2 linked regions of the Rattus norvegicus genome follow. The protein of the gene in region 2 binds, or shares a complex with, the protein of the main gene of each other region. Links are inferred from orthologs where the notes say so. Each region holds a gene or a part of one and is shown on either strand. Other genes may lie near its edges.

Evidence for each region. The genes of interacting proteins can lie anywhere in the genome.
Region 1: Ercc2 (region 2) and Polr2c share a complex: the UniProt entries of both Homo sapiens proteins name them as parts of the TBP-based Pol II pre-initiation complex. The link is inferred for Rattus norvegicus from reciprocal best matches to the Homo sapiens genes ERCC2 and POLR2C.

The regions. Positions count from the first base shown.
Region 1 is NC_086037.1:10,168,123-10,172,318, forward strand, and holds the start of Polr2c (DNA-directed RNA polymerase II subunit RPB3), read right to left. Parts: upstream 2,809-4,196; 5' UTR 2,785-2,808; coding exon 2,699-2,784; intron 2,598-2,698; coding exon 2,548-2,597; intron 1-2,547. UniProt on the Homo sapiens protein: Core component of RNA polymerase II (Pol II), a DNA-dependent RNA polymerase which synthesizes mRNA precursors and many functional non-coding RNAs using the four ribonucleoside triphosphates as substrates.
Region 2 is NC_086019.1:88,160,049-88,164,149, reverse strand, and holds the start of Ercc2 (general transcription and DNA repair factor IIH helicase subunit XPD), read right to left. Parts: upstream 2,809-4,101; 5' UTR 2,779-2,808; coding exon 2,774-2,778; intron 2,559-2,773; coding exon 2,459-2,558; intron 1-2,458. UniProt on the Homo sapiens protein: ATP-dependent 5'-3' DNA helicase. Component of the general transcription and DNA repair factor IIH (TFIIH) core complex, not absolutely essential for minimal transcription in vitro.

The sequences.
Region 1 (4,196 bases), on a different chromosome or scaffold from region 2:
TGAGTTCCAGGACAGCTAGGGCTACAAAAGAAAAACAGTGTCTCCAAAGCAAAAACAAAAACAAAAAAAACCAAAACAAACAAAAAAGAAAGAATCAAGTCAGTGCTTACAAAGTTGAAGGTGACCAGACCAGGCCAGACTAGGCTGTAAGAGGCTTCAAAGTTTAGCTCCAGGTTTAGGCCTTCCACATTTCATATATATAATCTTCCTGCCCCAGTGAACTGGGTATAGGCCTTGTTAGTGATACACATACACCCCTACCTACCTCAGAGAATTTAGAGATATTTAGGGAATTGAGTACTTTAAACCAGCTACCTGTGCCAATACCAAATCCAAGAATAAAAGCTATTTGGGCACCTAAAAGTTGAGGGAAACATGGGTTGGAGGAATGGCTCAGAGGTTAAGAGGTTCCTGGCAGGGTTGGGGATTTAGCTCAGAGGTAGAGCATTTGCCTAGCAAGCGTAAGGCCCTGGGTTCGGTCCCCAGCTCTGAAAAAAAGGGGGGGGGGAAGGGTTCCTGGCACCCATGTCAGGTAGCTCACAACCCCTGTAACTCCAGCTTCAGGGGGATCTGAGACTCCTGGGCACCTCTGGCACCTGCATTCACCTGTAAACACCTACACACAGAGACAGTTAAAAACAATTTAAAGGGCTGGAGAGATGGCTCAGCCCTTAAGAGCACTGACTGCTTTTCCAGAGGTGCTGAGGTCAATTCCCAGCAACCACATGGTGGCTCATAACCATCTGTAATGGGATCTGGAGCCCTCTTCTGGTTTGTCTGAAGACAGCAACAGTGTACTGACATACATAAAATAAATAAATATTAAAAAAAAAATTTAAAAATTTTCAAGTTAGGGAAAACATCTCAAGAGTAAAAAGTAAAACATCACAAGTTCATGGCCCACACCTTATTTATGATATCACCAGAGAGCCCACTTAGAATTTCAGTGTTACTCCCATCAAGGGATGGTTCACTGGATGGCTTCAACAGGGAAAGCACACTAACAATAAATCCAACCCCTCTCAGTTCAATGCTGGGCATACGGGACTGTACACACACAGAAGCTTAACTTAAACCTGTACCTAATCGCCCATAAGCAAACACCTGCACATAAACAATGATGTTCAGAAATCAAATGGTGTGGGAGCCCAGTTCTCAAGCAGCTGCCATAGGCACAAGGAAGAGAGGTCAGAAGACCAGGCGAGGACAGGCCCAGCCTGCCCTTCCCTGCAGCGCTTCTTCAACCCTAGCAAGGGTGAGGCTTCCTGACGCTTTACTTCCAGGGCCCCCTCAATGCCCTTAATCTACTCCCCATCCCTTAACCCCTGGTGGGAACTCCCGGTATAAAAACCCTGTGTGTGCGTATCTACAAATGCTCCATCCCCTTCTTTTGGTCTCCTTCCTTTCTCTCAAAACAAACAACAAACAAACAAAACTGTTTAGACTCTCCTGAAGACAGCTGTCATATTTTGCCTTGTGTTATGTTTGCTCATTTCTTGACTTCACCTGGAAACTTACATGATCTACAGAAATAAGAAATTCATTAAAAAAAAAAAAAAGACACCAGAATAAATACAAAAAACCCTGTAGTCTGTCTTATCTGTCTGTCTCTCACTCACACACACTTCAACCATAAAGAACTAAAGTATGCTGTTTGTAAAAGAAAAGTTTAATAACACACATGCTTTCTCTCATGTGGGCGCTCTCTCTCTCTCTCTCTCTCTCTCTCTCTCCCTCCCTCCCTCCCTCCCTCCCTCCCCCTCCCCTTTTTAAATAAAAGGAGAGTTCAGGGCCTACAAGATGGTTTAGCGGGATAAAGGTACTTACTTGTTGTCAAGCCTTATCGAGGTCAATCCCTGGGACACACATGGTGGGAGAAGAGAATCCCTCCCACAAACTGTACTCTGACCTTCACACATGAACTATGGTACTCTCGAGCCCAGAGATATACACATATATGTAAATAAATATGTTCTAAAGAAGATAGGGGGAGAAGAAAAGAAAGTATAGCAGGGTACTATCTGGAAGGACGGAAGGACGGGAGAAATCACTCTGTGTGTAGATTTAAAAAATGTCATTACGTAGTCTGTTATTTTGTAAAATTAACAGACATTTTCAAAAGACGCCAACCAGTAACGAACACTGACTTAAAAGCAAAAGCGCAGGGGCTGGGGATTTAGCTCAGCGGTAGAGTGCTTGCCTAGGAAGCGCAAGGCCCTGGGTTCGGTCCCCAGCTCCGAAAAAAAGAACCAAAAAAAAAAAGCAAAAGCGCACCATCTACATTACTTCAGTAATCTCTGTATCACCCGCTAACCTAGGGTCACCTTACGGATGAGGAGGCTGCAGCCCTCGGCTGTTTTAATAGTGCTTAGTCTTGATTTCTGTTGCTTTTGGGTAGACGAACAGAGTTGGAATCCCCGCTGCCGAGCAAGGCACGCACCGAGGCGGGCCTAGGCAGCCGCAGCCCGGCGTGCACCTCCTCAGTGTTCTCAGCTCCCACCCGGGGCGGAGGGACGGCGGCACCGGCTCCGAGGGAGGGTCGCTTACCTATTATGGGCACCTCTGCGATGAAGACCCTCCGAATGGAATTGGCCACCCTACAGGAGGAAAGGCAGGCAGCGTGAGAGGCCCCGAAGACACAGCCCCGGGGTCAGGAGCCCGAGGCCCCGGCCGCCCGCCTCTCCCCTCGCCTCCTTACGCCAGGTCCGTGTTCTCGATAATGAACTTGACGTTCTCTTCAGTGAGTTCCGTGATCCGCACGGTTGGCTGGTTGGCGTACGGCATCACGACCGGCTGCCTGTCTCCCGCGCCAGCCCCACAGCGCGCCTGCGCGACCACCAGTTTGTCGGCGGGGCACCCGGGCGCTTCCGGCTAGACGTGGGCGCAGTGCCACCTGCTGACCGGAGGCCGGAACTCCTGGCCTGTGTTTTCTAACCACACTGGCTACATGCACTGGTCCTATGCTCTTGAAATCCCCAAGATACACAGCACAAAATTTCACGGACAGGGTCATTCACGCCAATGTTATTTGTAATTGCTAAAAATAATAATAAAAATTCCTAGGAAGCGCAAGGCCCTGGGTTCGGTCCCCAGCTCCGAAAAAAAGAACCAAAAAAAAAAATTGATAGAGGCTTGGTTAAACGTACATACGGGGATGTGGAGATAAGAGCACTGGCTGCTGTTCCCTAAGAGTTGGATTGTATTCCCAGCATCCATATGACGTCTAACATCTTTAGCTCCAGTTTCTAAGGAATCTCTTTCCTGGCATCTGAGGGCACCAGGTAGTCAAATGGTGCACAAGCATACATGCAAGCAAAACACCCATATACATAAGAATAATTTTTAAATGTGTAGGAATACAATAAAGCCTTTTAAAAGATGGAAGCTGTACATCTAAACATAAATAAAATGGCTAGGGAGGTGGCTCATTGTGTAAAACGACTGACAGGTTATTTCTCTGCCAGAGAAATGAGTCAATTCAAGTCAAACTAGAACATATTAAAAGGTAGGTTTATTGGGAAGCTGTTCTCAGGCAAGTTCACTGGCCCCCAAGAATGGAGGCCAGGGGAGTCACCAAGGGAAGGACAGGGAGGGAAAAGAGGGGAGAGGGAGAGAGACGGGGAGGGAGGGAGGGAGAGAAAAGGAGAGAGAGCACAAAGCACAAGGTATCTGGATTAAACAGGAAAGAGAAGAGCCTCTGAGGAAGGGCAACCCAGCCTCTAAGCTGGAAAGTTCAGGGTGGGGGCAGAATATGACAAGTAGGGACTGAAAGATGCTGGGAGTACCTAGGGGCCAGCTCTGCATTGATATGTAAAGTACGCACCACAGTCCCTGGTCCCACTGTCAAAGCCAAAACACCAATGTGCAAGGATACAGGTTCAAATTCTCAGAAAACTCGATGTGCAAGGATACAGGTTCAAATTCTCAGAAAACTCGATGTGCAAGGATACAGGTTCAAATTCTCAGAAAACCCGTAAAACAGCCAGCATGGTAATGCCAAAGTCTGTAATCTTAGTGCTCCTTTGAGTTGGAAGGTGAAGAGAAGAATCCCCTGTATGCTCTTAGGACAGTTAGATAGTGCGCAAAGAAGCAAACAACAAAAGACCCACACCCGAGCTGATGTCAGAGAGAGTGCTGTAACGCATACACATGAAAATCAAAATACATGTGTGTGTGAGAGACGGTACAACACATCA
Region 2 (4,101 bases):
CTGACAATCCCCACTCCTCCTTTTTTGCTGGACTTTACTTACATTTCAAATGTTATTCCCTTTCCCGGTTTCCTATCCATAAACCCCCATCCCCTCCCCGCCTCCCTCATACGGGTATTCTCCCCATCCATCCCCCTTACTGCCACCTCCCCCATATTCCCCTGAACTGGGGGTCCAACTCTGGCAAGGGCTTCCCCTTCCACTGGTGCCCCAACAAGGCTATTCTCTGCTACATATGCAGTTGGAGCCCTGGGTCAGTCCATGTATAGTCTTTGGGTAGTGGTTTAGTCCCTGAAAGATGTAGTTGGTTGGCATTGTTGTTCTTTATTTTTATTTATTTATTTTTTTAAGGTTTATTTATTGTGTATATAGTGTTCTGCCTGAATATACTCCAGAAGAGGGCGCCAAGATCACATTACAGATGGTTGTGAGCCACCATGTGGTTGCTGGGAATTGAACTCAGGACCTCTGGAAGAGCAGACAGTGCTCTTAACCACTGAGCCATCTCTCCAGCCCGGCATTGTTGTTCTTATGGGGTTGCAATCTCCTTCTTCTAATTCCCCCCAAGGGGGTCCTGTTCTCAGTTCAGTGGTCTGCTGCTAGCACTGACTTCTGTACTGGACATGGTCTGGATGTTTCTAAATTTTTCATTTTTTTTTTCGGAGCTGGGGACCGAACCCAGGACCTTGCACTTGCTAGGCAAGCGCTCTACCACTGAGCTAAATCCCCAAGCCCTAAATTTTTCATTCTTTTTTTTTTTTTTTTTTGGTTCTTTTTTTCGGAGCTGGGGACCGAACCCAGGACCTTGTGCTTCCTAGGTAAGCGCTCTACCACTGAGCTAAATCCCCAGCCCCTAAATTTTTCATTCTTAATCCCCACCTATACCCCAAGGGCCTGGCTAGCCTAGTACTTACTATGAACCTCTGGCTGGCTGCAAACGTTTGGCAGTCTTGTTGCCTCCACTTTCTGAGTACTGGGATTACAGGCTGAACCTTATTTCTGTGTCCCTCCTACTGACACAGCTAACGAGTTTACTGAGCAGCAGACAGGAGGAACCTTTACCTCTCTGGACTGCAACATCCTTGCTTCTATAGGCCTTACTTGGAGCAAGGTTGTGAGGACGAATACATTTGTGGGCCAGCAATATGGCTTAGCTGGTAAAGGCGCCTGTGGTCAAGCCTGATCACCCGAGTTCAATCCCCAAGACCAACTCCTCTACCCTCCACATGCACACCATAGCATGTATACACACATTCCAAGTAAGTATAATTAAAAACTTTTTTAAAAAATAAGTTTCTGGGGTTGGGGATTTAGCTCAGTGGTAGAGCACTTGCCTAGCAAGCACAAGGCCCTGGGTTTGGTCCCCAGCTCTGAAAAAAAGAATAAAAAAAAAAAAATAAGTTTGTGTTCAGGGCTGTTGAAATAGCTCAGCAGGTAAAGGTGCTCCCACCAAGCCTAACAGCCTGAGTTTGATCCCTAGAACCCACATTAAAGTGGAGGATATCTGGGTGGTGTTGGTGCATGCCTTTGATCCCAGCACTTGGGAGGCAGAGTCAGGTGGATCTCTGAGTTTGAGGTCAACCTGGGCTATGCATTGAGTTCCAGGAGAGCCAGGGAAACCCTGTCTCAAAACCCAAAACGAAACAAAAGTGGAAGGAAAAACCAACTCCACAAAGTTGCCCTCTGATCTCCACATATGGAATCCTTCCCTCCACTACTGTGACTGCCAGGAACACCTCTACACAGACCAATCAGCCTCTGCCCGTCAGCGTGATTAAAACCTGTCACTCAAGCTACCTAAGAACCTAAGGCAGGAGGATTGCTAAGATGAAGTGCTGTGCCATCTTGATGGCCCTTATCTTTTTAAAGGTCGGGCTACACAGCCCTGGCTAGCCTGGAACTCACCCAGACTGGCTGCAAACCTCCACTTTTCCTCCCACCTCAGCCTCCTCAGGGCTAGGGTTCCAGGTATGCATCATCTTATGCCGTGTTAATTTGGTGTTGGGATTTGGGCACACTAAGCAAGTATTCTACCAACTGAGCTATAACCGACTCTCCCCTATTAGCTAAATGTTTTTGGAAACAGTCTCCCTATATATAGTCCTAGCTAGCCTGGAACTCACTATGAAACTCAGGCTGTCTTTCAAACTCGAGAAATCTTTCCTGAGCCTCCCGGCTCCGGGAATTACAAACATATTGTAATTACTGTCCCATTCAATTTATGCGGTGCCAAAATGGAACCCAGAGTTTCATCCATGGTAGCTAGGCAAGACCCTACCAACTGGGCTCCTAGTCCTGCTAATTACATTTGTTGTTTAGTACACAGTCTCGCTGTACAGACCCGGCTGGCCTCCAAACTCGCAGCGATGCTCCTGCCTGGGTTTTCAGGGTGCGGGATAGCAAGGATGTTAGCCTGCGGGAGCCACCAGAGTGCCAGGAGAACGGCCTCACCACACACCTTGGCGTCGAGCGTGCGCTTGAGCTCCAGCATGTAGGAGAACTGCTCCGGGTAGATGTAGTCGTACGGGAAGTAGACCAGCAGCCCATCCACGTTGAGCCTGGCGGCGACGAGGCGTCGGTGCCTGGTGCTCTCGAGCCGCCCCGGCCTCCGCGCCGCCCGCCCGCCTCCGTGGCGTCTCCCCGCCACGGACCCCGAAGCCACCCGGACCGGTCTCCGTAGCCTCTCCACGCCGCGACCTGGCCCCGGCTACACCCACCGGCCGCCCCATCGCCCACCGCAGTGCCGACCACTCTTCCCGAGACCCCATCTCACTTCATGGCGGCTTGTCCCGGCGTCCACTCGCCCGCCTCCTGAATATTCAACGAGGGGGCGTGACCTAGAGCACCACCTTCCTCGCGATGCCATTGGCTGAGTCTTCCCGTCATTCCTCCAATCGGAAAACTGGCGCGTGCGCATAGCGGTGAGAGGGCGGACTCCGGAGAGAAGCGGTGCCCAAGGCATCGCTGAGGATCGCCGAAGACTTCGAACAGAACACAGAAAGTAGAATGTCGAGAGAATCGTTACAGTTCATTGACGTTTGCTCCTCCTGGTTCTGTCCTGGTTGTCCAAGTCGGGAATAGAGTTTAGGAGAAAATAACAGAGGAATTGGAAGCTGTTCGGAGCCTTTAAGTTACAAAGGCGAGATTGTACCAGACAAGCACGATTTATAAAATACTGGTATCCAAACTTAAGACAGGAAACCTAAAAACAGCTCCTCCTATTTATTGAACTCTTACTCTAGCAAGATTCTACCACGTGTTTTTTAAGCATTCATTAATATGGGCTGGAGAGATGACTCAGATATTAAAGCTTAGGCTCACAAACAAACAAACAAAAATGCATTAATTAAGGGCCTGGAGGAACCGCTCCGTAGTTAAAAGCACTTTCTGATCTTGAAGAGGATTAGGGTTTCCAGCCCCCACCCCCCCACCTCCAAATCAGGCAGCTTACGATCGATCACCTTTAGGACTAGCTCCATGGAATCCAATACCTCTGGCCTATGGAAGGAAGAGGAAATCTGCAGAATTTGGTTCAGCTCTTTCCTTCCACCATGTGTGGGAATTGAACTCAGGTCAAAAGACAATGGCGGTTTACCTCATGAATCTTCTCATGAACCCTTCCTGCTCTCTTTTTTTTTTTTTTAAGATTTATTTATTTATTTTATGTGAGTACACTGTCACTGCCTTCAGACACACCAGAAGAGGGCATCGGATCCCATTACAGATGGTTATAAGCCACCATGTGGTTGCTGGGATTTGAACTCAGGACCTCTGGAAGAGCAGTCATTGCTCTTAACCACTGAGCCATCTCTCCAGCCCCCTCCTGCTCTCTTTTGAGACTGTCTCACTATGTAACCCAAACTGGTCCGGAGGAGCTCACTCTGTAGCCTGGGCTTCCCCCCAACCCCCCACCCCTACTCGTGACTCACCCACCTCAGACTCCTGAGGGTCAGGATAGCAAGGCTAGACAATGCTGTCCGTTATTTCCTATCTCTGGATCCCTGCTCAAATGTCACCTTCACCTTTTTCTTTCTTCCTTTGCTCCTTCCTTCCTTCCTTCCTTCCTTCCTTTTCTTTTTCTTTTTGAGACAGAGTCTCTCT